2 linked regions of the Cricetulus griseus genome follow. The protein of the gene in region 1 purifies or fractionates together with the protein of each later gene. This does not show direct contact. Links are inferred from orthologs where the notes say so. Each region holds a gene or a part of one and is shown on either strand. Other genes may lie near its edges.

Region 1 (15,525 bases):
TGCGCATTTTATTACTTATGATACAGTATAATGTGGATTGAGTGTGCAGGTCTGGAGGGCAAGCTCTTTGTGGGACCTTTGGCAAGTTGCTCAACCGCTTCCTACATCAGCTTTCATCTGCAAAATGGGGACAGTGGAGAGTTTCCACTTAGGAAGACCGAATCACCCAGCACGGGGCACGTTTTGCACTTACTGTTGCTGGATATTCTTATTCTTATTCTTATTCTTTTGGTTTCTCTGTGTAGCTTTGGAGCCTATCCTGGCACTCGCTCTGGAGACCAGGCTGGCCTCGAACTCACAGAGATCCGCCTGCCTCTGCCTCCCGAGTGCTGGGATTAAAGGCATGCGCCACCAACGCCGGCTTATGTTGCTGGATATTATTACACAGATCCTTTTGCTGATGGATCTGCACTAGTCTTTCATAGTCTGTTGAACTCTTTGGATGTTTCAGCATCCCAATACTCTGACCTGGCTTCTTTCTTCTTCTCTCTTGCCTTTTCTCTTCTTTTGACTCATGGTGCCTTCTGCCAGGATATTAAGGCCCGCTCAGTGGCCTGGAAGACTGGAGGTGTGTGCTCCACTAAGGTCGGCAGTCGGCTTGGGAACACGAAGAAGAACCGCTACAAAGACATAGTGCCATGTAAGTCAGTGGATAGGGAGTCAATACCACTTTCAGGAATGCTAGGTGGCAGAGCCCCAGTGGCAGAAGCTACCCACTGCTGGCCCCAAGAGCTCCCCAAAGCATTCTAACCCCCCCCCCCAATACTTGAGGCAGCTGCATTATTCCCTGAAGCCACAAGGGACAGTGCTCTGCTACCCTGCTTGCTTTCGCCTGGGGTACTTGGCCTACATCTCTCCATGTGTCTCACCCACTGGCAGATGATGAGACGCGTGTTATCCTTTCCCTGCTGCAGGAGGAGGGACATGGAGATTACATCAATGCCAACTTCATCCGGGTCAGGCTAGTAACTAGGGAAGAGGTGGCTTGGGCAAGGGTGGGGAGGGTGGGCTTCAGGATCTTGTAAATGAATGGGTCTTTCCCAGGGCACAGATGGAAGCCAGGCCTACATCGCAACACAAGGACCCCTGCCTCATACTCTGTTGGACTTCTGGCGCCTGGTTTGGGAGTTTCGGGTGAAGGTCAGCTTTGAGGGACAAAGGGGCATGGCTCTGGGTCTCCCTCTTTCCTGTTTCTCCTTACCAACGGCCCCCTTCCTTGTCTAGGTGATCCTGATGGCCTGTCAAGAGACAGAGAATGGACGGGTATGCACCCTCAACCTCCCAGCATGCAAGGAAGGCTTGTGTAGGGAGGAGGGAGAAGGAATTTTGGGGTCTCCTTCTTGTCCCTAGGACCCTGGGCCCAGTCCTTGGCTGACTCCACTATAGCTCTGCAAAAGCCGCTAGTCATAGTTTTATCTTGAGCTTTCATTGTTTTGTTTTTCTGAGACAGGGTTTCTCTGTGTAACAATCCTGGCTGTTCTGGAACTCACTTTGTAGACTAGGCTGGCCTGGAACTCACAGAGATCCACCTACCTCTGTCTCCTGAGTGCTGGGATTAAAGGAGTGCTCAACCACCACCTGGCTGCCTTGATCCTTTTGCTTTTGATCATGGCGTTGTCCCCTCAGTGCTGTCAGCCTGGGCTTTCCACCAGCCCATGACATGGTGGAGGACCCGAAATGAACAGTTTCACCTCTGCTCTTTCTGTCCTCCTCCCTGCTTTACATATGCTGGTCTTGGCTATTCCTCAGATGAGCCGGAGAGGGTTCTGCTCCTGCCAGTGCTATGGCTGTCCTCTGCCTTAGACATTGCTTGCTCAGTTACCTGGGTAGTCACATGGCTTCCTGCTCCCCAGCACGCCCACCTGTAACTCCTTCCTTTTCTACCTCAACAGTTCTTATCCACCTCAATGCGCTGGATAATTCTAAATGTGAAATACACATGACAGTAATATGGTTACGCTACACAAGCTATTGTTTTTGCTACACAAGCTAATGTCTTTTTACTGGAATCCAGTTCACCTGTTTAGCCAGTCATAGCAGCTCCCTCCTCTGCTTGCAGTACTTAGGAGGCCAAAGTGAGAGGATGGAAAGTTGAAATCAGCTTGGGCAACTTAGGAGACCATCAACATTTCCATCAAGCCGTTAGCAGTCACACCCCATGTTTAGAGCCACAGGCAACTCCCTAGTCTAGTTCCGATCACTGCAGGTTTGCCTATTCTGCCTGCTTCACATACAGTGGAATTGGGCAGCCTGCGTCTTTTGGGCCTGGCTTCTTTCTCTTTGTGTTTTTGGCTCGTGCATGTAGCAGTGTGTTCATGGTTCACTCCTTTTTGTTGACGAATAGTGCCCCATTGAATGTTTCTACATTTCACTCCTCTAAGCAGTTTGTAGATGCTGGGTTATTCAAGTATTTTGGCTTCAATGAATCACCCTAGTATGAACATTCATATGCAAGTCTTTGAGTGGACATCAACTTTCGTTTCTCGAGTATATATGGGGTGGAATTGCTGGGTCATGGAGGAACTCTATTTTTAACTCCATTTTAAGGAAGTGACAAACTGTTTTCCATCGTAGCTGCATCAGGTTGCGTTTTCATCCACAATGCATGATAACTCTGGTTTCGTTAGGTCCTCGCCAGCATTTGTTATTCTCTTTTTAAATACATTTCACTTACTGGGTGTGGGGCATGTGATGCGTGCATGTGTATACTGTGGAATGGAGGTGAGAGAAAACTTTGGGAATTAGTTCTCTTTTTCCACCATGTGGCTCCTGGGACTGAACACAAGGTCAGTCCCTGGCAACAAGTGCCTTTTTCTGATGAGCCATCTTGCCTGCTTTTTTCTCTGTATAGCCATTGTTGGGAATACGAAGGAGTCTCTAATTGGGTCTTTTAAAACATATAAAAATACATATAAACATAAAATTTGCCTTTTAAGATCTGAAAAGATGTCTGAAAGTTAAGAGTACTTGTTGCTCTTATAGAGGACCAGAACGCAGCTTACAACTGCCTGTGTCTCCAGCCCCAGAGGGATCTGATGCCCTCTTCTGGCCTTGTTAGGCATCCAAACACATCTAACATTCACACACACACACACACACACACACACACACACACACACACACACACACACAGCATAAAGCCCCTCTTTCCCCTGAATTGCCTTCTGTTTCTGGTTTATTTCACTTGATGTTTTCAAGGTGTGTCCATGTTGTCACATCAGAATTTCATTCTTTTTAAGACTGACTATGCCATTGCTTTATGTCATATTTCCTTTACTGACTCATGTGTTGATAGACATTTGGGCTGCTTCTACCTTTTAGACTACTTTGGATAATGCTGTTTGCATACACTGGTGAACAGTTATCTGTTTGGTTCTGGGTTTTGTTTTACTTCACTTATGTGTGTCAGTGTGTACTTGTGTCTGTGTGTCAGTGTACCCATGTGTGTGGTTATGGATGTGGCACCCGTGTGCATACATCTCACTATGTCACCCTGGCTGGCCTGGGACTCAATGTGTGGACAAGGTTGGTCTCAAACTCACAGAGATCCACCTGTCCCTGCCCCCTGCTCCTGCCACATTGCTAGGTTTAAAAGGCTTGTGACACTTTGTCTGAATTCTTATTCCTTTTGAAGCAGTATATATGTCCCTGAACTCAGTGCTTGAATTTTCCCAGTTAGCTTCGAAGCCAGCAAGCCCCAGAGATCTTCCTGTCTCTGCCCACTCTGAGCTGGGACTGCAGGTATACAGAGGATGCCTGGCTTGTTATATGGGCTCCGGGATCTGAACTCCAATGCTCATGGTTGTGCAGCAAGCAAGCACTCCTAATTGCTGAGCTATCTTTTTAGCACCCTCTACTTTTAGTTCTTTTAATGTAACTCTGCAGTAGAATTGCTGTTTAATTTTTTTTTTCCACAGTGGCTATACCTCTAATGATTCCACCAGCTAGGGGTTTGAGTTTCTCCATATGTTCACTAACACTTCCTATTTGTGTGTGTGTGTGTGTGGTGTGTGTGTGTGTGTGTGTGTGTGTGTGTGTGTGTGTGTGTGTGTGTGTGTGCTTTTGCACACACATATGGAGGCCAGAGGAGGATGTCAGGTATCCTGCTTTATCAGCTTTATCAACTTTCTGCCTGTTGCCCTAGAGACAGGGTCTTCCACTTAGCCTGGAGCTAGGTTTGCAACCAAGCCCCAGTCATCCTCCTGCCTCTGCCTCTACAGTGCTGGGGTTACAGGTGCAACCCAGTCTTCCCATGTAGGTACCGGGTGTTTGAATTCAGATTCTCATTCTTGTTCATCAGTTGCCCTTACCCATGAACCCTCTCTCCAGCTCAACAGTCATTATTTTACACTTCCCACTCATTAAGAAAACCACTCACAGGAATAGAGAGATGGCTTAGTGGTTAAGAGTGCATTCTGCTATTGCAGAGGACCAGAATTTGGTTCTTAGCACCAACATCAAGTAGCTCACAATCACTTGTAACTCCACCTCCAGGGGATCCAACCATCCTGGGCTCTGCAGGCGCCTGCATTCACATACACATGACCTCCCCAATTGAAAATAATAAAGATAAATCTTTTTTTTTTTGAGACAGGGTTTCTCTGCATAGCCCTTACTATCCTGGAACTCACTTTGTCAACCAGGCTGGCCTTGAACTCAGATATCCACCTGCCCCTGCTTCCTTATTGCTGGGATTGAAGGCGTGTTTTTATCCTGAAGCTATGTTGGTTTGTCAAGGTTTTTGCCCCTCCATCTATTCATATGACCCAGTGTTTTTTGCTATGTAGTTTATTAATATGATATTTGACACCAACTGGTTGTTTTTAATCATTTGTCTCTTCCTGCCTCCCTCCCTCCCTCCCTCCCTCCCTCCCTCCTCCCTCCCTCCCTCCCGGTGTGTGTGTGTGTGTGTGTGTGTGTGTGTGTGTGTGTGTGTGTGTGTGGTGAGTCATAGCATGAGTGTGTGTGGTGGTTACAGGACAACCTCTGGTGTTGGTCTTTACCCTCTGCCTTGTTGGAAACAGGGTCTTCTGTTGCTTTGTCACTAACCCGAAAGCTTCCAGGGATTGTGTCTTCTGTCTTGAAAGAATGCTAGAATTATAAACACACTCTACTGTGTGCAGCATTGCATATGCTCTGGAGATCCAAAGTTGGATCTCCAGCAAGTGCTGGATTTCCCACCAAACCATCTCCCCAGCTCTGACACTAGTAGATTTTCATTGTCAAAAAATTGTGCATTCCTAGGATTAATCCTGCTTGGTCATGATGTATAATAGTTGGCTAGTATTTTCTTGAGAATTTGGGCTCTAAGTTCATGAGACATTGTTGGGTACTTTGTTTTCCTTGTGATCCCTGGTTTGGGTAGGATCATACTCGGCTTTAGTGTGCTAAGTCATGTTCATGCTCCTTCAGGTTTTCTTGTTTTGTTTTTGCAAGGATGTGTGAAGGGTTGGTATTGATTCTGCCTTACTTGTTTAGCAAATGCCACTAGATTGTTTTTTACAGGAGGCAAAAATGTGAGAAATGTTTTAAAGTAGCCACATACCTGCTTTTGTCTTTGTTCTTTACTGTTTTCTATACATTCAAGTTTCTATCTAGTGTCCTGTTTCATTTATATGAGAATCTTCTCCTCATGATTTGCATGTAATGAATTTGCCTAGTTTTTTTTGTTTTTGTTTTTGTTTTAGATCTTTATCTATTATATATACAGTGTTCCTCCTGCACGTATGATTGGATACCAGAAGAGGGCACCAGATCTCATTATAGATGCTTGTGAGCCACCATGTGGTTGCTGAGAATTGAACTCAGGTCCTCTGGAAGAGCAACCAGTGCTCTTAACCTCTGAGCCATCTCTCAAGCACCCTTGTCTCATTTTTTTTTTTGTGTGTGTGTGTATGACAAGGTTTCTATTTTATTAATTTACCTGAGGGGGGAATATGAGTGTGCCATGGCCCATGTGTGTGTGTGGAGGTCAGAGAACAGCTGTTCAAGAGTTACTTCTCTCCTTTGGCCATGTGGGACCTGGGGCTAAAACTCTGGTTGTCAGGTTTGGTGGCAAGCAACTTTACCAGCTGAACTAACTATCTAGCACAAGGTTTCTTTTTTATTCCAATATTCTTAGGATATCACATGATTGCCTTCTGGATTGTAGAATTTCTGAAAGAACAGCCGAGAGTTGGTGGCGCACGCTTTTAATCCCAGCACTCAGGAGGCAGAGGCAGGCAGATCTCTGTGAGTTCGAGGCCAGCATGGTCTACAGAGCAAGTGCTAGGATAGGCTCCAAAGCTACACAGAGAAACCCTGTCTCGAAAAAACAAAAAAACAAACAAATAAAAAAAATGATTTCTGAAAGAAATTGTCATCCCACTTGCTTTGCTTTTAAGACTTTTCTCTTTATTATTATTAACTTTCTTTCTTTTTTATTATTATCATTTTTCTTTCATTTATTTGTCAGTTGGGTCATGGTGTGCTTCAACATCATTTTCTTTATGTATTTCCCCCCTCAGTGCAGATTATCAACTTTATTAGCCTCTAGTTCATCAGCTTTGGGAAACTTTCAGCTTTTATTTCTTCAAGTATGATTTCTGTTCTCCCTGGGACTAGAGAGATGGCTCGGTGGTTAAGAGCACTGACTGTTCTTCCAGAGGAGCCAAGTTCAATTCCCAGAATCTACATGGGGGCTCACAACAATTTGCAACTCCAGTCCAAGAGATCCAATGCCCTTCTCTAGCCTCAGGCACGAGGCATGTACCTAGTGTCCAGACATACATGTAGGTAAAACACCCCAACACATAAAATAGTGAATTAATTTTTTAATTAAATTTTTTTCTGTCCATCTCTCCTCTTCTGGACTCCAGGTATCACCTGTTGTGTCCCACAAAGGACTGATTCTCTTGTTTTCCTATCTTCTCTTTTTGCTTTGTTTCTGTTGCAATGTATTCATGTTCAGCACTTTTCTTTCTTTTTGGGTTTAACCTGCTACTAGTGAATTTCAAGTGTTGTAGAATTCCATTTAGGAATGGTTTTGCATCTCACACTTCATTCTTTGTTCTATTCATCTTTCCATTTTGACTATTTATATTGCTATTTGAAGGTCTTTGCCTCTTTCCTCTGTTGCTTCTGGGTCTTTTTCTGCTCCTTCATTATTTCCCTGGTAACAAGTCACATGTCACTATATCTTTGTTTGTCAAGGACATTGTTATGCTGGGTGTTTTAAGTGCCGCATAGTTCAGTGTCAGATTGTGTTGAAGTGTTTTACTTTTCTAGGAAGGTGGCCAAATCTCTTGGATATTTTATCATCTGACCCTTTCTGTTTCCCTGGTTTGTTTGCGTAGCTCTCTCTTCCCTGAAAATTCTGTGTTGCCCTCTCTGAGACATCACCTGCGCTTCTTTAGTTTCTACAGCTTAGTGACACATCAAGGCAGTAGTCCACTTAGTGACCACAGCCTTACAGCGCTCGTATCTGTGCTGAGAAGCAGTGGTTTATGACTTAGTTCTAGTTCCAGGCCGTAGGAAGATGTCCTGAGCATCTTCTCCCAGTATGATCAAAAGCTTGCCCCTCTGTGAGTTCAAGGCCAGCCTGGTCTGCAGAGTGAGTTCCAGGACAGCCAGAGCTGTTACACAGAGAAACCCTGTCTCAAAAACAACAACAACAACAAACAAAACAAAACAAAATAAATAAATAAATACAAATACAAAAGCTTGACCCTATGGAGTGTGCACGTGTTTAATGTCCCACTCTGTAGCTGGGCTCTATTACAACCCCAGCAGCTGGCCCTTCCACACGTCACACTTAGGGTGTCTTGTCACTCTGGAAGTGACCGCCCTGTTCACTCTTGCCTTTCCTCCCTCCCTCTGCAGAAGAAGTGTGAAAGGTACTGGGCCCAGAAGCAGGAGCCTCTGCAGATTGGGCCTTTCTGCATCACCCTGGTGAGCTGGGGCAGGGATGGGGTGGGTGGGAACAAGGAGGGCTCTGCAGGCATTGGGAGGTGTGGGAGATCTCAAGGAAGATGTACAGAATGAGAAGCCTGGGGCTGGACCTGGAAGGATGAGCCATTTTCTCACAGCTCTCTTACACCGTGGGAAACCCAGAATACTCTGGGTTTGTCATGCATGCCCCCAGAACACAACTTAAAGCTTTTAAAACTTATTTTCACTTTTATTATTTTATTGTTGTCATGAGTGTGTGTGTGTGTGTGTGTGTGTGTGTGTGTGTGTGTGTGTGTTGCTGGAGAGAGAATCAAGGGAATCAACACTTCATACATGCTGTGTAAGTGTTCTTCCCAGGCCCTAGCACTTTTGACAATGTCTACTGTTACCTCTGTAACCAAATCTACCTGTTCAGGTTTCTGCAATTCCTATTTCTTTACCATGTGCAGAGAACTGGAGGAAGTAGTCCTTCATTGAGGAAGTTAACCATTAACAGATGCAATGAGGCCATTCTATTTCAGAACAATAGAACTCTCTTGTGTTGAATATGGATGGATTAATTTGGTTTCTATAGTCATTCCTCTTTCCCTTTCTGACAAAAGTTTTCTTGAAATCTTTGGGAGAAGTTTGGGCCAAAGGAAAATCTATAAATATTATCAGTATAGAAATTTATTTGAATTAAAAATATATGGCTATATTTACAATAACATAATACTTACCTAAAGGAAATATCATTGGCTGTGAAACCTGGTTTTTATTTTTTGTTTTTTTGATTTTGTTTTTTTTTTTTTTTTTTGAGACAGGGTTTCTCCATGTAGCCTTAGCTGTTCTGAAACTCAATCTGTAGACCAGGCTGTCCTCAGACTCACAGAGATCTGCCTGCCTCTTCCTCCCGAGTGTTGGGATTAAAGGCATGTATAACCACCACCTAGCTGACTGTGAAGCCATTTAAAATATTCTTTTGAAGTTAAAAAAAATATGTAATGAGAATGTACAAGATAACAAAACCCATAAGTTCACTGAGGATTGAGAATTGTAACAAGGACACACCAAGTGAGCTAGCCTAACAGAGTCTCAATTGTAAGCCATGACCAGCAAGCTCTCCTGTCTCTTAACCACATGGGAAATAAATCTATGATCCCGGGAATGTAAGAACAGCAGCACAGGTCAGAGAATTTTTTTTAAATGTTTTTTAGTATTTAGCTTTAATCAAGAATGCTTTGCTTCCATCAGGCCTGGTAGTACACGTGTCATCCCAGTACATGGGAAGCTGAGGCAGGAGGATCTCATGCTGGAGGCCAGCCTGGACTCTATAGCAAGACCTGTCTCAAAAACAAAAACAAAACCCAAACCCTTGCTTTCTAGAAATATGAAATGTGTCGCTGAAGGTCTCTGCTTCTCATTTGTTTTCTCTTTCCTCTTCTCACATGCTCAGACAAAGGAGACACCAGTGAATGCAGACATCATTCTCAGGACCCTCCAGGTTACATTCCAGAAGGTACCAAAAGGGCAAAGGTGAAGGGGCTCTTGCATGGGAGGAGCTGTTTCCACGGCTGTAAAATGGGCGCTCACGATAGTAATCAGTTTTCATCCCCCTCGGTTATAACGCAGTGGGTTTGTTTGTCTTTGTGGTGCTGGGGATGGAGCCCACAGCCTTGTACATGCTATATGCAAGGGCTCTTCAGCGGAGCCTTATCTGGTGGATTTAAATGGAACATGCTTAGAACTCTAGTATGTTTTTCTATCCTCTGTTCAGGAATCCCGCTGTGTGCGCCAGCTACAGTATATGTCTTGGCCTGACCACGGGGTTCCCAGCAGTCCTGATCACATTCTCACCATGGTGGAGGAAGCCCATCGTCTCCAAGGAGCTGGTCCTGGACCCCTCTGTGTCCACTGCAGGTTTAGGGAAATGGGCTTTCTGGGGGTGTGGGGAGGCAGACCGGAGAGGGTGAGAAAAGCAAGGAAGAGAGGTTATGGCTTGGAACCAGCCTTCCCCTTTCAGTTGCCTCGTTGGAGAAACTTGTAGCCACATATTCATGATACAACGAGCTGGAGCTGGAATCGTTAGCATTTGTCGAGCACAGGCTGCCTACTGGGGAGTACGCATATAGCTGATATGTCACAAGCCTAAGTGAATAAAAAGGGTTTTCTTGCTCTGAAGAAATAGCTTAGTGGGTAAGGTACTTGCCGTACAAGGACTTGAGTTCAGGTCTCTAGCACCCAGGAATAGCCAGGACAGGTGGCTTGTCCCTGTAACCCAAGGGCTGGGTGAAGGGTAGACATGTGGATCCGTGGGGCTTGCTAGCCAGCCAGTCAAGCCAATTTGTGAGCACCCAGTTTAGTAAGAGACCCTGACTCAAATATAATGTTGATCTCTGGTCTCCTCTGTCTCTGTTTCTCTGTCTCTGTTTCTCTGTCTCTCTCTCTGTCTCTGTCTCTCTCTCACACACACTCACACCATATGAGTGCATGCTAGTGTACATAAAAGGTTTTATTTGAAGTTATAATCTAGGGATCCTTCAATTTAAGAGATGCTGCAGGGGATCTCCCTCAGCTCAGCTCCTAATTCTCCATGTAGAAGGGGCTGTGGCATCTATCTGTACCGTTCAGCAGGCCTGCCTTCCCAGCACTTAGGAAACAGATCCAGAAGTCCAGGCCAGCCTGGGCAACACAGCAAGACCTATGGGAAGGGGGAGGAGAGCAAGAATGGAAGAACGGGGAAAAAGTCGCTGTGAGCAGGCGGTGATGGAGCCTGCTCTGATTCTTGCTTGTCAGTGCCGGCTGCGGACGAACAGGTGTCCTGTGTGCTGTTGATTACGTGAGGCAGCTGCTGCTGACCCAGGTATGAGGCAGACTTCTCTGTGTGCGGTGTGTCCCACACCTGCCTACCACGGCCTGTTCACACTCCCCCTCTCTGTCCCAGACAATCCCACCCAATTTCAGCCTCTTCGACGTGGTCCTTGAGATGCGGAAACAGCGGCCTGCTGCGGTGCAGACAGAGGTGTGTGCTTGCCCCACCTTCCCGTTCCCGGGGACACAGGGAGGCTTCTGTATTTCCCCGGTTTCCCTTCTCAGTGACCGACCACTCACCCCAACAGGAGCAGTACAGGTTCCTGTACCACACAGTGGCCCAGTTATTCTCCCGTACTCTCCAGAAAGCCAGCCCCCACTACCAGAATCTCAAGGAGGTACAAAGGAGCTCCTGGGCAACACTCTCACTCCCCTCCTGAGAACAGGGACCGACTCACTGTGAAAGGCGCCTTTGCCTCCTCAGGGCTCCTTCCCCAGGCTGTCCCCTCATGAGCTTACCTCAGCACCCACAGTGACCAGCATAAGGAGTGTGGCCTCACCACCCTCCCCGCCTGATTTCCTGCAGAACTGTGCCCCAATCTGCAAGGATGCCTCATCTCTCAGGACCTCCCCAGCCCTGTCTGCCACATCCCGCCCTCCAGGCGGGGTTCTCAGGTACTGGCTGACACTCACAGCCCACTGTTTCTCTGACCCACCAACCTCTACAGTCTGGATTAGCTTTCCCTTGCTCTTCCAGACCGTAACTAGTTAGGCAAATAAGTTTTAGGCTCTCTCTCTCTCTCTCTCTCTCTCTCTCTCTCTCTCTCTCTCTCTCTCTCTGTCTCTCTGTCTCTCTCTCTCTGTCTCTCTCTCTCTCGTGTGTGTGTGTGTGTGTGTGTGTGTGTGTGTGTGTATACACTTGTGTGTACACACTACTGGGAGGTCAGAGGACAACCTTAGGCATGGGGCCTCACCTTCTACGTGTTTTGAGACAGTCTAGTCTCATTTTGCATACTGTCAGGCTGTGGGGGACTCACCTGTGTCTGTCTCCCATCTCATGTAGGAGTTTTGGGGTAACACACACACACACACGCTTGCCTTCGCTTGGGCCTTCACTAGTTCCACTTGGCAATCTGTCCCCGTCCCCTCCTGCTGTATGGGTACTAGGGACACGGAACCCCGCTTTCAGCCCTCGGGTGGCCCGCCCCTTCCCTCCTTTCCTGCTCTGGGGACTGGGGCAGGCAAGCAGGAAGGAAGCCGGCAGCCTGGGGTGAGCTTGCTCCCTCCCCTGCTCTCCCTGTGCTCGGCGCTTTCACTTCCTCTGCTTGCTGCCCGCTGCAGGAGCATCTCGGTGCCCGGGCCCCCGACCCTTCCCATGGCCGACACTTACGCCGTGGTGCAGAAGCGTGGCGCCCCCGCGGGCACAGGGCCGGGGACGCGGGTGCCTAGCAGCGCGGACGCCCCAATCTACAGCCAGGTGGCTCCGCGTTCCCAGCGGCCGGTGGCACACACCGAGGACGCGAGGGGGACGACACCACCCGGCCATGGTGAGTCGGGGCCCGCCCGGGATGCGGGGTGAGGGCGACCCGCGCGCACCTGTTCCCATGTTCCCCACCTGCTCCGGGTGGGGATGGAGGGTCTAAGCGGCAGTTCCAGACCTATTCTGGCCTCATCCCGGGACTCTTGACTGTCGGGGTTCAAACCCGAAAGTGAACCCCATGTCAGGTAGGTTTCAGTTGAGAGGTTGGGTCTAGCGGGGCCCCAAAGACAGACCTCCGGACTTGGCGACGCCCAAGGCTCCGCCTCCAACCGGCTACCTCGGGAAGACAAGTCTGGGGCTGAGCTCTAGAGTCACTGGGACTCCAGAAGGCTGCTTGAGCTGACCCGTAGGGTTTCTCCCGCCCTCAGTTCCTGCGGATCAAAACCCTCCCGGGCCTGATGCCTATGAAGAAGTAACAAATGGAGCGCAGACGGGTGCCCTCGGTAAGTCAGTTAGAGCCCAGGGTGCAGTTTTGGAAAGCCCCAGGAGTTTGGGAGTGCGGGACTCAGGCTGTCCTTCACATACCAGGATCTGGGGATGCACGGATGGGGTTTTCGGAGAGTTTACCCTTTCACGCTTCAACTTCTGCATGGCACCCTTCTCTCAGGCTTCAACTTGCGCATTGGAAGACCCAAAGGGCCACGGGATCCTCCAGCGGAGTGGACAAGGGTGTGAGGGCTGTGCCAGGTAAGCTCAGTAGGGGCTGGACTTCTGCAGCCAAAATGCTGCTGTGCGCTGTGCTGGGAACAGGATTTATGGGTCTGCATCAAAACAAAAGTTTCTCAGGGTGGAAAAAATAAGGGTTTTGCCCAATGGTTAATAGCAATCAAAGCCCGAGGCTTGGAGAGGTAAGTGGGAGATCGCTGGTTGTGAATCTACCCTGAGAAAAATTAAGAAAAAACATCAGGAGTAGGCATTGCAAGCCCCCTCCGCACATACCCAAGAGGATATAATAATCTATTGGTAAGCTTCCAGAGATGGAACCCTCCCCACAGAATGAGAGATATATCCTCAGTACTGGGACCTCCTTTGCCCGGACAATCAGGTGACCACAGGGGGATGAGGCAGATGGTCCCTGAGGATAGGTCGATGGCCCTCATGCTATTCAGACAGATCCAGGTCAAGTCTAGCTATATCCAAGTGGACTAACCCCAGACAGGCAGAAAGAAAGAAAGAAAGAAAGAAAGAAAGAAAGAAAGAAAGAAAGGAAGAAAGGAGATTCTAGATAGGAAAACATATGGTTCACCAAATTTGGACATTGAGCTAGATCCCTAAATACCCACACCTCTGGAGGGGTTGTCTATGGCAAAACAGATGGACCTCAGCCAGAGAGAAATCAATCAATCAATAGCCTTTAAGACCAGTCCTAGCCAGTGATCCCAGTCCCCCAAAGTCAGACCCTCCCTCTGTCAGCTAGAGAGCCAGATAGACTCTAGCTAGACAGAACTCCAGACATAAACAGATTCCAGATGAACTGAGAGACAGACATCCCAGCTAAACTGTGCAGACAGACTGACCTTCCAGCCATACACAGAATGGGACTGTATAAACATCACAGGTCATCTGCTAAACTCCCAATTGTCTAGACAGATGGAGCTTCTCCTACATAGAACTCCTATTTGGGTGGACACTTTGGCATTTCTCCTTTTTGTCAGATAGCTGCCAGATAGTTGAGTCAACTGGCCAGATATACATCCCTAGTTGGGCATGCATGGTCTGGATACATCCCACTATTCAGACCATGAACAGCTAGCCTGACCTGTCATAGTCTCAGGTAGAATCCCAGCTAGCAGATTGATGGACTTCCAGCCTTCATCTAGATAGGGACTCCACATAATGGCTGGACCTTTGGGTGACAAACTACCTTCGGATAGAGATAGATGGATCCCGAGTCAAAATTTGCCAGCCAAATTCCAAGCTAGATAGATAGATAGACACAAGCTAGCCAGATTACCAGGCAGGATGCCAGCTGGTCAGACATAATACTGTAGATGAGCAGACAAGCCTCCCAGATGAGTACAAATACATCTCCAGCCATACAGGTGGGGGCACAACAAATTAGAATCTGTCTAGGCAGACCCTGAGGAGGCAGAAAGGCCTATCCAAGATACTGAACACAATAGTTCACAGTTTGTAGTAGACAGTCATCCTTGAGAAGAACAATCAGGCTGCCACTTGGCAGACACACCTGCGGCCAGCTACATAGACCTCTAGCCTAATAAGACAGATGAACCAAACCCAGAGTGACAGACCTGTCACCTTCTGGATAGACACTAGTGAGACAGAAGACTTCACTGGAAAGTGAACCCCAGACAGAGTCCTAATTTGACAAAACCCTCAGACAGATGCCTGCCTGAATTGACATGCAGGTCTCCAGCTAGAGAGACATATAGCTAGACTCTCACGTAAACTCCCAATGAGCAAGAAAGATCTCCAGCTGGTCAGAGAAATGGATCACCCAGTCAGATAAATAGTACGCCATCCAGAAAGACAGAACTCCAAACCTTCTTTCTTGAGATGCAAGAAAGTAGATTCTCTTGAGATGGGAAGACAAGAATAAAATATATGCAGAATTCTCTGCCCCTGCCCCTGCCCCTGCCTCCCACCCCCCATGATGTCCACAAACAAGTCAGCATCCATATGACAGTTGTTCGTCTAGTCACTTCTGGTTATACTTTCCGACAGGCTCTTGGAAAGGCTGTCTTGAATTTGATGAAGGCTCTTACCAGGAACTTGCTTAGCTGGGCACACATTACTAGAATGATTGTTAAGAGAGTTCAGTAAGGAGCAGGTTGAAAATTCAGTCCAAGAGCTTTACACAGTGCTTCATGACTGTCAGACCACAATCAGCCCCAGGCTCCCAGGTTCACAGTGGTCCTGGGAAGTCATTGCCTTTCGAATATTTTTTTTAAAGGAGTATGAAACATGCCTTATTTGGCCACAGTGTCTGTTGGCATTGTCAAATGCTTGAAGATCTTTGTGCCATGAATAGCTCTGCAAACAGGAAGTGGGGATGAGGAGGAAACCTTGGGAATCTTCAGCCCCTCAGTTGAATCTAAACTCTAAGAGGAAAGTTGGGGCTGATCATGCTGAGAGTCAGCTTGCAGCAGAGAAGGGTCAGGGTGCCTTTTTTAAAGCATGGACTGGGAATGACCACCCTATAGTGACAAAAGGAAGGGCAGAGGAGGGACAGGGTGTCATGTTGTACATAGGTCAATCTCAAAGCCAAAACTATTGAATTAGTTAGTCTCAAAGACCATCAAAGA
Region 2 (15,525 bases), on another chromosome or scaffold:
CCGGAGAAGACTCATGATTTCCTTGAAGTTCATAATATAATGGAATAATTCTGTTTTTTTTTTTTTGTTTTTTTGTTTTTTTGAAACAGGGTTTCTCTGTGGATTTGGAGGCTGTGCTGGAACTTGCTGTAGGCTGGCCTTGAACTCACAGATATCTGTCTACTTCTGCCTCCCCAGTGCTGGGATTAAAGGCGTGCGCCACCAACGCCTGGCATAATTCTGTTTTATAACTAGAGAAACTGTGGCCCTGGGAAGTTCAAGTTGTTTTGTCTTCAAAGCAGCTCTGGAGGGACTCCTTTTTATTTAAAGATATATTAATTTTCATTTTATGAGTATGCATGTTTGCCCACATGTATGTGTGTGTACCACATGTGTGCCTGGTGCCTACAGAGCCACAAGAGGGTAACAGATCTCTTGGAACTGGAGTTAGAGACTGTTGTGAGCCATCATGTGGGTACTGGGAACTGAACCCAGGTCTTCTGGGAGAGCAGCCAGTGCTGTTAACTGCTTAGCATCTCTCCAGCCCCCATGAGACTCTCTTCATTGATGGGATTTATTTCACCTATAGGAAAGGTGATGGGAGTGAATGAGAGTCATTAAGATAAAAGTAGTAAATGTATGAGGATTTAGAAGAATCAAGAAATAACTCCAGGGGCTGGAGAGATGGCTCAGAGGTTAAGAGCAGTGGCTGCTCTTCCAGAGGTCCTGAGTTCAATTCCCAGCAACCACATGGTGGCTCACAACCATCTGTTATGAGATCTGGTGCCCTCTTCTGGTGTGCAGATATACATGGAGGCAGAATGTTGTATACATAATAAATAAATTAAATCTTAAAAAAAACAACAAAAAGAAATAACTCCAGCCAAAATTCTGTTTATTTTTTTTGTTTTGTTTTGTTCCTGAAAAACCTGTATGTGCAGGCTGATCCTTTAGTCAAGTAGAGCCCTTCAAGAATGTCTTTCAGGACTGGAAGGCTGACACCAAAGGCTTCTATTCAGGTCTCTGTGGACATTTGGGGACCTGCCACTCTTCCTGGAGGTCTCTTTGGAATTGACTGTACCTGATGTTGTGTTTACAGTCTGTGCATCCAATCAATGGCCAGTGTTAAGGCTGATTGTGTCCTCACCTCTCAGGATGAGCGACTTTGCCTACAGTTTCAAGTTGGAGTCTGGGTTGGCACTAATGTGTCGGGTTGCCCACAGCATCTTAAGAACCTCCCTGTCTCACATCCGCCATCATTTCACCAGCTGCTTTTCCCTTTGTTTGTTTGAGACATGGTCTCATGGAGCCCAGGCTGGCCTCCAGCTCACCGGATAGCTGAACCTACTGCCTCCACCTGCTGAGTAGTAGGATGCAGACTTGTGCTGCTGCGCCAGGCTTAAGAGCTGCTCTCTGCACACCACTGCCTCTTCCTATTTCTCAGCTGTTGCTTGTGCAATGCCTCTTAGCATGAAGGAAGGACAGATGCAGATGGTTAAGGAACGCTGTATCAAACACTTTCATACGCTCTCTCAACCCTTGAGGTTGCATCTGTCACAAAGCCTTTTTCCAAGCAGAATTATTGTGTGTGCTGTACTCGTTGGATGGCAGATTCTTTTGTCTGACATTGCCAAGTCTGCCATGTCTTTGAGGAAATTACAGTTTTTTTTTTTTTGAGACAGGGTCTCCCTATGTAGTTCTGTAATTCTCTATAACTCTAGGCTGGTCTATAACTTAATGGAGATCACCCTGTCTCTGCCTCCCAAGTGCTGGGATTAAAGGTGTGCACCACTGTTCCTGACACCAGGTTTTTAAAAGTTACCTTTTAATTATCTATGTTTTAATACTTTATTTTTTTAATGTGTATTGATGTTTTGCCTATGTGTGCGCTTGTGTGAGGGTGTCAGATCACCTGAAACTGGAACTATAGATAGTTGTAAGTTGCCATGTGGATTCTGGGAATTAAACCCTAGTCCTCTGGGAGAGCAGCCAATGCTCTTAACTGTTGAGCTATCTTTCCAGCCCCTTACTTACCTATTTTTTTAATTGAAATAAAATTGCATCAGCCCCCTTCTCTCTCCAGCCTCTCTTAACTACCCACGTCTGACCGCTCCCATGTACCTGTTCCACAAAGGGTTCTTTTTTTAATTTTTAAATTTGTGTGTATGCATGCATGTCTGTGCATGCGTGTGTGGGTACACATGGATGCTCTGGATCCCCTGGAACTGGAGTTACAGGAGTTTGGGAGCCACCTGACATGGGTGCTGGGAACCAAATGTGGGTCCTCTCAACTGCTGAGTTATCTCTCCAGTCCTGACAGTTTTTGTCTCTCTTCTCCTCTCCCTCCCCTGCTCCCTCTTGAGACAGAGTCTCTCTCTATAGCCCCGGCTGTTCTAGAATTCACTACATAGACCAGGCTGGCCTGGAATTCACAGAGATTCACCTGCTTCTGCTTCCTGAGTGCTAGGATCAAAGGCATGTGCCACCCAAATGACAGCAAAGGAACTTGGAGGTTGTAAAGATGGCTCAGCCGTTGAGTACTGTCCTTGCAGGAGATATAAGTTCCATTCTCAGCACTCATGTTAGATGGCTGATGACCATCTGGAAATCTGCTCCAGGAGTATTAGATCCTTCCAGCCTCCATGGGTACTGCATGAGCACACACAGACAGGCACAGATATACAATTTGAAAAAATGCAAGCTGAGTGTGGTGGCATACACCTTTAACACCCTGGAGGCAGAGGCAGGCAGGTCTCTGCAAATTCAAGACCAAGCCTGGTTTACACAATGTGTTCTAGGCCAGTGGGAGTTACTTAGTTTAGCCTTGTCTCAAAAAGAAGGGAAGGAAAGAATAACTAAAAAGTTAAGGAGAGATCGTGTCTTATGTGGAACAGTTAAAAAATAAAAGAAGCATAATACCTTTGTCAATGAACTATGCATATGTGACTCCACTAAAAAAGGGCAGTTTCCTCACATCCTCAGGTGTCTTCAGAAGCCCTGTTCTTTGTGGGGAGAGCTGTTAGCTCTGCACAGCTTCTGGAACTTTCCCGCTAATGTTACACATGCCAAGTGGTTGGAGTGAGAGGCGCAGAAGAGCATTGCACGCTCACTTCAAGTTCCCTTCTCAGCAGGAGTCACTTTCAAAACGTTGAAAAGTTTAGAAAATTGTAGTTATGCATTTCACAATGGACTCTGGGGTGGCTTTGGGTACCTTTTTTTTTTTTTGAACACTTTTAGGGGAAAATGTGTCAATGTTAACTTCCCTTTTTAAAATTGTCACAGTGCATGCCTTGGCTTTCCACTTCTTAGAAATCGAGCTGTTTCCACTCATCAAAAGAACCAGTCAGTTGTTTGCTTTTCTTTCCACTCTTTCTTTTTCTCTTATGCTGCTGGTTGAATCCAGGTTCTTGGCTGTGCTATGCAAATACAGTATAGAGCTGTGTCTCCTCATATAATTTACTGATTTAGTTTTAAAAGCCTAATAAATTTTTAATAGGATGTTTTATATAACTTTATTTTTTTTAAATTTAGATTAAAAAAATCTTTAATCCCAGCACTTGGGAGGCTGAGGCAGGTGGATCTCTGTGAGTTCAAGGCCAGCCTGATCTACATAGTAAGATCCAGGAAAGCCAAGGCTGCATAGTGAGACCCTGTCCCAAAAAACAAACAAGTCCTTATCTTGCATATATGAGTGTTTCGTCTGCTTATGTCTGCATACCATGTGTGTGTCTGGTGCTTGTGGAAGTTAGAAGGAAGTGTCAGAGATGCTCCTGAGTAAGAGATGCAGCTGCTATGAGCCACCACGTGGGTGCTGGGAATTGAACCCAGGTCCTCTGCAGGAGCAACAAGTGCTCTTAATTGATGAGTCATCACTCTAGTCCTGTTTTCTTTTTTGAAGTTTCATTTTTCTTTTCTCTGTGTGTGCATGTGTGTGTGAGTGTGTGTGTACGTGTGTACATGTGTAAGTGCATGAGCATGTCCATGCATATATGTACATGCCATGGTGTACATGTGAACATCAGAAGACAACTTGCAAGAGTTGGTTCTCTTCTCCCACTGTGTGGGTCTTGAGGATTGGATTATCAGGCTTGGCAGCAAGTGCCCTTATCTACTGAGACATCTAAACAAGGCCACACCTCCTAATTATTCCCAAACAGTTCCGCCAATTAGAGTCCAAGCATTCAAATATACGAACCTCTGGGGGCCATTGTCATCCAGACCACCACACTGACTTTGTTTCTTTGGGCTCACAAAGTTCATTGCCATCAGGAAAATGGCGAAGTAGTACTTACACAGAATGCTTCATATAGAAGTGATAGATGAATGGAAGCTAGAAAAACTGTGTCTGAGAGGTAGGTATTTATTATGAGCAGCATTGTTTTGGCCAACAAAAGTACCACCATCGCAACTGCAATGAAGAAACCATGCTCAGGTGAACTACATGGAGTTTACCTTGCTGGCTTAGATGAGGCAGAGGATTGTTTCCATTAGCGGTGCCACAGATACCTCCTTCTTCCCCTGGTGACTTGTTGTAAAGTGTTTGTCATTGATGGGCCACAGATGTGGAGGTTGAGCTCCTAATTGTCTGTGCTGACATAGCTTTCAGAATAAAGCTGTTTTTAAAATACAAATAGTATTTTAATAAAATTTAAAATTCCTTCTTGAAACCAAAGTCCTTGATTCTAGGTTTGCTGAAGAAAGCACTCCATGTGATTAGTGAGTCTTCGGTGGTGTTTTGAGCATTCAGGACCCTGCGTGGGAGTGCCTGGCTAATTAAGATGCAGCATCACTAATTTCCTGTGACTTCTTGAGCAAGGAGTTTAGTCTCTGTTGTGTACTGTCCCCATTTGTGACGAAGAGACTGTAGATAGCATATTTCGCTTCTGGGTGATACGAAGGCTAAACTGGATTACCCATGTTGAATGCTTAAGCCCTCAAAACAAGTTGCTGTTAGCAGGAACTTGCAGTTTTTATTGACAGTGTTTGCATTCTCTTCACAGACAGAAACTATAATGGATGCTGCCCACAAACAAAGGAACTCACAGTTCAAGAAAACCATGGATGTGAGTCACACTTGTTGCTGCTGTTTTTGTAATGGTGACAATTATTGGGAATTCTGTGCTTGCGCATGAACATGCTCCTACTGAAATGATGTTTCAATGATGCCATTTATCAGGGAGCTGTTAAGGGAAACACTTGGCTTTCCTTCCTGCCAAGGTCCTGGGAAGCTTGAAGATGGGAGAGTGCGTGCAGTGCTGTTTTGTTTTTGGTGAGCTGGCTGTAGAACTCGGTCCTCTGGACATGGCATGACTATTACCTTCTAAGTCAGAATATCTGTGACTACCAACATCCCTAGTAAGACTGGACCCAGTAAGATTCTCTCCTGCAGGAAAGGGAGGCTCACAGGGCAGCGAATGAGTGGTCACAAGCAGGATAAGGGGCCTTACAAGGCCATGCCTTCAACAAGGACCGGGTAGATAACAGCCCTAGGTAGGGGCAGACTTTTCCTCTGCGGTGTAGTTACCCATAAGTTGTTTATGCTTCTGTAAGTGACCTTTCACCCTTGTTCCTATAAATGTCCACAGTCAAACTCATTAGTCCACCAAGCTGGATTTGAGTAGAATCATCTCTTTGGTCTCTTGGTATTTGATGGTATTGTTCATCTCTGCTGGAATAGTTCACATAGCAACTATAAAAGTAAGCAATTCACTTAAATATTTTAGGATGTGATACAAAAGCATGTGACACACAAATGTACACACACATACACACAATGTACACAGACACACAGGTGCACACACACATATATACACACAGAGACACACACACATAGAAATATTCGCACACTATATACACACTACATGCATATACACACATATCCTATTTATCACCACACACACACACACACACACACACACACACACACACACACACACACAATTTATCTTGTATTTGAACTTTCTATCTCATGGTGATTCTGAACCTCGATTGTTGCTCATTTTACTGGATGAACAACATCTATGGCCTGGGCTCTGAGTCTGAATTAAAAGGGGAAAAGGGAAAAGGCCAGGTGAACTCCAGCATTTCCCTTTCTCTACTTCCTGGTCCAATCCACTGAGCTGTGAGGAGTGAGGAGGAATAGGTTCTGTTGCCGTGGACCCCACCATACCTTTCCTGCCATGATGGATGGTGAACTAAGGTAAATCCTTGCTCCCACCAGCTGCCTCTTGATCACAGTGGTGACAAAATACCAAATATATTCTTGGTCACATGAGGTGATGCTTACTCTTTACTGTTCATTTAGTCCACTATCTCTTCTGTTCTTCATCGGGCTTTTGTATTTTCAAACTACTCTGCAATTCCGAGATTTCCTTTTTGCTTCTATTTCTTTCCTTAGCTTTTTTTTGTATCTTTGCCATGCTGTTTTGCTTTGGTTTGTTTTGGTGTGTAGTTGTTTGAAGGATTCTTTGCAGTCTTGGTCGGACAATTCTTTTTTTTTTTTTTTTGATTTATTTATTAGTTCTAGTTAGGGAACAAGTTGTAAGTCCCTTCTCCCTCTCCCTCCCCTCACCCCCAACCCTCCTCCCCCACCCCAACCCCCCCACCCACCACTCCCCAGGCAGGGTAGGGCCCTCAACGGGGGCTCTGCAAAGTCCACCAAATCTTCCTGTGCTGGTCCTGGGCCCTTCCCCATGTGTCCAGGGCCAGAGTGTAACCCTTCACATGGCATGGGCTCTCAAAGTCCCTTCTTGCACCAGGGAAAAATACTAATCCACCACCAGAGACTCCCTGGAGTGCAAAGGCCTCCTTATTGTTGGTCAGACAATTCTAAAGTTTGTCATCTTGATTGTCTTTGTCCATTCAGTTTGATATTTTTTTTTCTAGTTTTTGGTTTGGGTGATACTCAATTGATTTGGATATTTAGGGTATTACAGAAAAAGGTTTGGGTTATTTAAGCCATGTTTTAGCTGGTTTCCTGTGACAGCATGCCAGTAGGAGGTGATACAATTGCTTCATTACTCTTATCTGGGGTTAAGAGTTCAGGTTCCCCTTTGTCCTCATCAGATGTTCCATTTTCCACTAAACTTCCTCTGCTACTACCCCAGGAGGGAAGGGACTTGACTACTGTAGGTCCAGTAGGTCAAGTTGGACAAGGAGGGGTAGAAGTTCAGGTTCCTCACATGGGGACTACTGCTCCTGTCTTGAAGAAGAGACACTGCAGTTCCTGTTGCTGTTGATCTCTCTTCAGATGATCTGGGTGTTACAGCGTGGTAACCATGGGAGTCTAGACTCTCTCATTGGCTTTTACTATCTTGTGCAAGTGAGCCCTAGTTTGTTTATTGTTGTTGATTTTGTTGGTGTGTGTGTGTGTGTGTGTGTGTGTGTGTGTGTGTGTGTGTGTGTCTCATGACACTCATGTGGAGGTCAGAGGAACCTTGTGGAGTCAGTTTTCTCTTTCCACACCTTACGTGGGTCTAGGGTGGTCAAACTCAAGTCAACAGGCTTGCACAGTGAGTACCTTTACCCAATGAGCCGTCTTGCTGGTCTGAGTCCTTGTTATTTATGCTGTGTTTAGTATCAGGGGACTGGTTTTTTTTTTTTTAAGTTTATGTTTTTGTTAGGTTAGCCTTTTTCTAGTCTTTTGACTAAGGAGAATAGGTAAAAAATATTTTGAGTTGTTACTGTATTTTTGAGCCACCTGCTTCTTGGAACTGGATCTATAATGTACGAGGCAAGGAAACTCACTCTTGGGTTGCTCTTTGGCCAAAGGTTACTAGCCAGTTTGTCTTTGTGAATTTTCACTCTCAGAATCTTAGGTTGGTTTTATATATAATGCTTTGGAGTTTTAGATGCCATAGCAGGGTGGTGGTACATATAGACAATCCCAACACTTGGGTGTCTGAGGCAGGAGGATCATGAGTTTGAGGCCAGCCTGGGTTACATAGCAAGTCAAAAGCCAGCCTGAACAACATAATGAGACCCTGACTCAGAAAACCAAGGGCTTAGATATAGCCAGTGGCAAAGTTCTTCCCTAGAGTTCAGAGCCTTAGGATCCATTCTCAGTACCTCAAGGAAGTGTGGAGGTATAGTGATCATGTTTGGTAGAGAGAGAGATCTCCAAGGTGTTGCATAAAAGGAATTATTATACAGGTCTTTTTACATGATTATTATGCATTTTCATATAATTATGAAAACCAGGAACATACTATTTCTATAATAAAATTTTACATGCTATGTAATTATAGAGTATATAGCTAATATAACATAACAGACAACATATAGAGAAAGCTCATGAAAGAATAACCACAGTTGAATTATGGAAACTTACTTATGAGAAATATAGGGAAGTGTGTATAATAATAAACACAAACCACCTCTCCAAAGAAGCCACTGTCCTTTGGAGATCATCTCCAATTGAATGAAACTGCTTCTGTGGGCTCAATTTCACATGTCCACATGTAAGAACTATAAAAGTACATTTTGTGTCTTATTTTGTCTTCATGTACCTTTGGACATAAGAATCCTTGGTTTATAGATGGGGAAACAAAAACACAGAGATGAATTTATTAAAAACAAAACAAGTACACAGATATTGGTGAGGCCGGATTTGAACCTCTGCAGTCTGGTTCCAACACTTGATCTCTGTTTCACAGGCAGCTGAAGAGAAATAAACCAAGAAATAAGTTGTATTTTTGGTTGTGAGCTAAGCCTTTGGTGTCTGAGCCATCTCTCTAGCCAAGAAAGGACATCTTCATTCTTAGTCAAGTATAACTATCATATTGACTTATTTGTTAATTGTTTGATCCATAGCTTTGTTTTGTGTTGTTTAAACAAGCTAAGGCTTTGTTTCTAGACCTGAAACAAACTAATTTTCTTGATTTAACAATTGTTAGAGTTTGTGAAATGATTCTATAATCCTGGTAGTAGTAGTGGTGTTAGATAGGCCATTGGCTACTTTAAACTGACACCAGGAAATAATCAAATTGAGGGCTAAAATCAATAAAGTAGAAACAAAGAAAACAATACAAAGAATCAATGAAACAAAGTTGGTTTCCGAGAAAATCAACAAGATAGACAAACCTCTATCCAAACTAACCAAAAGGCAGAGAGAGAATATGCAGATTAACAAAATCAGAAATGAAAAGGGGGACTTAACAATAGACACAGAGGAAATACAGAGAATCATCAGGTCATACTTTGAAAACCTGTACTCCACAAAATTGGAAAATTTAAAGGAAATGGACAATTTTCTGGATAGGTATTACTTACTAAAATTAAATCAAGAACAAATAAGCAATTTAAATAGATCTATAACCCCTAATGAAATATAAGCAATCATCAAAAGTCTCCCAACCAAAAAAGAAGCCCAGGGCCAGTTGGTTTCAGTGCAGAATTCTTTAACCTATGTTGAACTGAAGTCTTTAAAAAGAAACATGACCAAAGTGGAAGAGACATAGCATTGCTGTGCCCCTTGCTGTGCATGGCAGTGGCTGGGAACTCTAGAATACTGATGCCTGTTGAGAACGAGAGGAAGTTGGTTCCAGTGACTGAGTGATTGCATAGACTCTAAGGATTATAAATGTCACACAGATGTTGGATTACACATCTTAGATGTTATATACATGGGGGTGCATACAATCATATTGCTGTGTATAATTGTATGAAAATTTCAAGAACAAGGAAAAATCAGAAAAATTAGTTATATACACTTCAAGTCCCATTTCTTACCCTGCTCACCCATATTCACCCTCTGTTTGTAAACAAAGGCCAAGAAGAATTATGAACAGAAGTGCCGGGACAAGGATGAGGCGGAGCAGGCTGTCCATCGCAGTGCCAACGTGGCCAACCCAAGGCAGCAAGAAAAGGTACCTAGCATGGTCTACAACCTGAAGAGTCAGAGATGCACCTGTGTCAGTTTAAAGCCAACTTAGGGTTTGGTATGATGCACATGCATGTCGCTCTAGGACTCAGGAGGTTGAGGCAGGAGGGTCACGAGGTTAATGCCAGACTGGGCTACAGAGTGAAATCCCATCTCAAAAAATAAAAAGAGATTTCTATCCCAAGTCTCTGGCAACAATGTTTTTGGCTTGTAAACTTCAGAGTAAAACCAAAAGTCCTTGTAACACTTTTTTTCCCCAGGAAATTATTTTATTAGTTCAAATTAGAAACAAGCCTGCTTCACATGTCAATCCCTCCTCCATCTCCCTCCCCTTCTCCCCTTCCAACCCCCTACCTCATCTCCTCTCTGCTCCCCAGGGAGGGTAAGGCTCTCCATGGGGGATCCCCAAGGTCTGTGGTATCATCCCGGGCAGGGCCTAGGCCCTCCCCCATGTGTCTAGGCTGAGAGAGCATCCCTCCACATGGAATGGGCTCCCAAATCCTTTCTTACACCAAGGCTAAATACTGATCTACTACCAGAGGCCCCATAGAGTGCAGAGGCCTCCTCACTGACATCCACCTTCAGGGGTCTGGATCAGTCCTGTGCTGGCCTCCCAGATATCAGTCTGGGGTCCATGCGCTCCCCCTTGTTCATGTCAGCTGTATCTATAGGTTTCATCAGCCCCGTCTTGACTGAAAGTACCAGAGAAGCACACATTGGAGAACAGTGGGTGGAATGGGAGGCTTGATTTTTTTTTTGGTTCTTTTGAGACAGGATTTTTCTCTGTTAGCTTTGGAGCCTGTCTAGAACTTGCTTTGTACACCAGGCTGGCCTCAAACTCAGAGATCTGCCTGTCTCTGCCTCCCAAGTGCTGGGATTAAAGGTGTGTGCATCACCACCTGGCTTCATATTCTTTTTAAATGTCTTCAAACCTCAGCTCATGTATTCTTTGTTGACAGAATACTTCTTGTGGGTGAGGGTTCTACATTTAATAATATGGGCTGAAATAATAATATTAGTAAATTAAATAATACATTTAGTAATATGTCTGGAACAATGGCTCAGCAGTTAAGAGCACTGACTGCTCTTCCAGGAAATCTGAGTTAAGATTCCCAGAATCCACATGGCCACTCACAACCATCTTTAACTCCAGTCCCAGGGTATACAACACTTCTGATCTCTTTGGGTGCCAGGCACAAGGTGGTACACAGACATACATGCAAGCAAAACACTCCTACACACAAAAACTATAAAACAAATTAATAATGTATCATCTGAATATAGTATTATCCACAGCTTGAGGGCAAGGAGATGTGTCTGTAGGAAGACATAGGATTGTTGTTTTCTGATGCTGAGAAGATGAAAGATTGATCTGCTTCTAAGTGCAGTGTATGTAGGGCTTGGACCAGATCTTGCTTTTCCAGCACTATTGCTTTCACAAGTGTTTGCCCGTGGGATAGGCTTTCCTAATCTCTCTCTGGTTTTGGTCCTCACAGCTTTTTGTGAAACTGGCAACTTCAAAGACTGCAGTAGAAGATTCAGGTGAGGGGCAAGGTGCTCTGACGGGGGTGGTAGTGGTTGGGGGCTGTTTACATTATTAAGAATATGTAGGATTAACGGGCATCAGAAAGGAACAGCTACAATCCAGCAAGCCTGTCTTGTTTCTAAATCAAGCCCCTGCCCATTGCAGACAAAGCATACATGCTGCACATCAACATGCTAGAGAAGGTCCGAGAAGACTGGCAGAGTGAGCACATTAAAGCCTGTGAGGTAGGTACCTGGGACTGGAAGCAGTGTGAGACTGAGCACATCTTCCTTCCAGAACCTGAGAATCTGCTCTCATTTTAGTGCTGTAATTTAAGAAAAGCAGCGTGAGAGAGAAAAATGCCATGAGATGCCAGGGTTCAAGTGGAGGGGTTTTTATTAGGGAAAGGGATCGTAAAAAAGGGGAAGGGGGGGGGAGACTGGCCTCCAGGGAAGGGAGCAGCAGGAGAGAGGAAGCAGGGTGGGGTTAGGGGTGGGGGAGTGGCGGGGGGGGCAACAGAGAGAGGGAGAGAAAGAAAGAGGGAAAGATGGGAGGTGGGCAGGGCCCACTTAAAAGGGAACACAGTGAATAGGCACAGGTGGCTGCAGGTGAGGGCAAATCCTGTTAGTACCCTAAGGACAGGCAGTACAGATGCCTGAATACTACTAACAAGCACTTCGTGTTTCATTCAGGCATCGAGCCCATGGATGAGTTAGAAACTGAGAATTTAAGTGAAGACTGGAAGGGATTGGAATGATTTCATCTAATCCTCATCCTTTTGCCACCCCGCCCCCCAAAGCCTGACCTCACTGTCCAGGTCACTCCAAAGCTAATGGTTGCTTAGCGCAGGCATGATCCCGATACATCAGTTAGTGGTGGGTTGAGCACTGTAATTATTCCGAGAGTCAGGCTTGTACTTGCTAGGTTCTAAGGGGAATACACAGGACTCCATAATTTTCTAGAGAAAACTTAAAAGATACAAGCTGGAAAGTTCCTCAACTTTCTGATGTCAGTTTTTAACAGCGTCCCGGGGCCAGCAGAACCAGCATTATCTTCGGACTGGGTAAAAATATGGGCTCTCTCAGCTCAGTCCAGGCCTTCTGGAGTCAGGAACTCTCAGGGTGGCAGCCAGCAGTGTCAGTGAATTCAAGAATTAGGCGTGCTGGTTTACAGCTCTCCTTCAGGAGTTGCTCCCTGCCCTGTCAAGGAGTCTCATGCTGTCCAGCTGGCCTCTCTACACCCTTTGGCACAGTCTTCTCCCTTCTTAGCCAGAGATATACTCTCTCTTTTTGTCCTTGACTCTGTCTCCCTCGATGTGCATGTGCACATGGGTGCTTGTGTGTGCGCCCACGTGTGGGTGCATGTATTGTGTGTGTTCGTGTGTGCCTGTGTGTGCCTCTGTGTGTGTGTGTGTGTGTGTGTGTGTGTGTGTGTGTGTGTGTGTGTGTTGGGAATCAATATCAAGCCTAGGTCCTCATGCTTGTATGTGCTCTACCACTGAGATATGTTCTCAGCCAGTCATGTTTTTTTGAAGTTGTTTGCATGTCCCATGTTTCATCCTAAAGGTTATTCTCCACACCTTCTTTCTCCTCCCTCATGGATACCTGGGATGCCCTTGGTGTAAGGTCCAGTGGGCCTTTGTGGTTTCTTATGCATGCTAGGCAAAGCACCACTCCAGTGAGCTGTACCCCCAGACTAACACTGGTGATTTTTAAAAAAAATCTTATTTGATTGATCTCGTTTGATTTATCGCTACAATTTGATACTCAGGAACTTTATGCCCACACTAAGTACTTTTTTCTGCTTTACTTTTTAAACTCCACTCCTCAATGTAGGTTTATGTTGTTTAAGTCATAGCCAGTCTAAACGGATGTCCCTTCTTTATGTATTTATACACATGTAATTGTTTTTCTGTAGGCGTTTGAGGCCCAAGAATGTGAGCGAATCAGCTTCTTCCGGAATGCATTGTGGTTACATGTAAATCAGCTGTCACAGCAATGTGTCACAAATGATGAAGTAAGTCATCGGCATTCACAGAGGGCTGTGCTCTGCAGGTTAGAATCATCAGAGCAGAAAAGAACCATCAGTGTTTATTAGTTCATCCTCTCCCCACTTCCTGCTTCTATTTGAGGTACAGAGAGATAGTGACTTGAGTATTGCTTTCATTTTCCTGATTCCCAGTCCATTTTACCACGGTTACTCTCTAAGTTAGGGGTGGACAACAGATAATGAAACCCAAACACAGTTTTGTGTGTGGAAGACAGATGTCACAGAAGAATGTGAGTCCCAGAGACAGCTCCAGTGTAGAGTGCCATCACTTCCTGCACCAAGTATTAGCAGACTGACCCATGGCAGGTTGATGGTCACCCAGGGTGAGGATTTGCTTTTGTGGCTTCATGGTGCTTGTCCAGAATTAACTTGTGAGCAGCAATAGTAACTGGGTCCCCAGATATCAAAGACACCAGGTGAGGTTGTCACAGCCTTAGCTAAGAAATAGCCCTGATCTTAGGTGGGACATGACTTTAGAAGAATGATCAGATATCCAGGAAACCTATAGAACTGAGAAGAACTTATCCACAAATTAAAGTAGTTGTGTTTGCATTTGTGTGTGGCACTGAGACTTGGTCATGGAACTTGTCTCATGGGGCTTGGCATGTAGTTTCTTTATTCCATCTATACTTAAAAGAAGTAACCAGGGTTTTGGTCTGCCCAGAAAGAAGTATTTCCTTGTATCTTATTTTTTTCATTTAAAAAAGGCAATAGAACAAATGGACTATAAGGGTGCCCTTATGTGAGTTTTGGACTTGGGAATGTCTTCTACTCTTAAAACAAAGTCGAAAAAGAGTTGGTGGCTCATGAAAGTTGAGTGGTGCCATAATTATCATCAATAAACTTCTACATAATGCTTTATCTTGTTTTTGTCAGATGTACGAACAAGTCCGCAAGAGTCTGGAAATGTGCAGCATTGAGAAGGACATCCAGTATTTTGTGAACCAGCGTAAAACTGGACAGACCCCACCCGGTGAGCCGAGTGGCACAGTGGGAGGGACAGTTAAGCAACGGTATTAGTCTTTCTTGTCTTGGGTCACAGAGGATGTAAGATACACTGTATTAGTCAGCTTCTGCTGCTGTAGCAAATACCTGATGTGAATCGGCCAGTAAGACACAGGTTTACTTTAGCTAGAGTTTTCAAGGCTTTAGTCCAGTCAGTTGATGCAGGCTGTATTGAGGCAGCGCACTATGACAGACAGTGGCCCAATGGACTGTTCATTGTACAGCCAGGAGATGTGAAGGAGGAGGAGACCAGGGCATGCCCCCAATGGCCTGACCTGGTATATTCCTACTGGGTTATAATTCTTAAAGGTTCTGTCGCCTTCCTTTAGCACTAAGCTGGGGACAAAGTCTTAACACATAGGCTCTTGAGGAGCATTCTAGGTCTTTATACCTTTTTTTTCTTTTTTGAGACAGGGTCTCATGTATTCAAGGCTAAAATTAAACTTGCTGTGCATCTGTGGATGGCACTGAACTCCAGATCTTTTTGCCTCCACCTCCTGAGCACTGAGGTGACAGACATGTGCACTCAGACCTGTCTTATGAAGCACTGGGTGACAAAGCCAGGGTTTTGTGTATGCTAGGCAAGTGCTCTACCAACTGTGAGACAACCCCAACCTTTACCCTTTTCTGATACCTTCTGTCTTAAAAATTGTAGCACCCATCATGTATGAGAATTTCTACTCTCCTCAGCGGAATGCAGCCCCACCAGGAAAGACTACAGGGCCCAATGTAGCAAGGTAATAACCAACTGTTTTTCATGTGAAGAAAAAATCTTAATAAGTGTTTATATTATTAATGATCTAAGATATTACCTTTAATTTTAAATTGACCAAAATTTGCATAATTTACCTATTAAGGAAACTGAGTTTTTTTGAAATAGCATTTTTAGAACAAATATTATATAACCTTTATTAATTGCAGTTTCTGGGGTACTATAGTATTACTTGTTTATGAATTCTATGCCTTCCTATGGTTGGAAGAACACAGGAATGAACAAACTATGCCCCCATTTGAGTCAGATCTCATCTGCAAGTTTTCATAGGGCCTATGAGTTAAGAAGGATTTCTCTCTCTGTCTCTGTCTCTCT

What was found.
Region 2: the proteins of Ptpn18 (region 1) and Pstpip2 purify together in Homo sapiens (affinity purification with mass spectrometry; 4 studies listed by BioGRID and IntAct, with this or other methods). This does not show direct contact. The link is inferred for Cricetulus griseus from reciprocal best matches to the Homo sapiens genes PTPN18 and PSTPIP2.

Annotation. Positions count from the first base shown.
Region 1 is NW_023276807.1:13,554,558-13,570,082, reverse strand, and holds part of Ptpn18 (tyrosine-protein phosphatase non-receptor type 18), read left to right. Parts: intron 1-531; coding exon 532-640; intron 641-879; coding exon 880-956; intron 957-1,044; coding exon 1,045-1,140; intron 1,141-1,224; coding exon 1,225-1,263; intron 1,264-7,860; coding exon 7,861-7,929; intron 7,930-9,364; coding exon 9,365-9,427; intron 9,428-9,685; coding exon 9,686-9,828; intron 9,829-10,704; coding exon 10,705-10,771; intron 10,772-10,852; coding exon 10,853-10,930; intron 10,931-11,027; coding exon 11,028-11,117; intron 11,118-11,203; coding exon 11,204-11,394; intron 11,395-12,060; coding exon 12,061-12,266; intron 12,267-12,627; coding exon 12,628-12,702; intron 12,703-12,866; coding exon 12,867-12,934; 3' UTR 12,935-12,946; intron 12,947-15,525. UniProt on the Homo sapiens protein: Differentially dephosphorylate autophosphorylated tyrosine kinases which are known to be overexpressed in tumor tissues.
Region 2 is NC_048595.1:162,161,078-162,176,602, reverse strand, and holds part of Pstpip2 (proline-serine-threonine phosphatase-interacting protein 2), read left to right. Parts: intron 1-4,979; coding exon 4,980-5,042; intron 5,043-9,746; coding exon 9,747-9,845; intron 9,846-11,355; coding exon 11,356-11,401; intron 11,402-11,549; coding exon 11,550-11,629; intron 11,630-13,301; coding exon 13,302-13,400; intron 13,401-14,309; coding exon 14,310-14,406; intron 14,407-15,093; coding exon 15,094-15,175; intron 15,176-15,525. UniProt on the Homo sapiens protein: Binds to F-actin. May be involved in regulation of the actin cytoskeleton.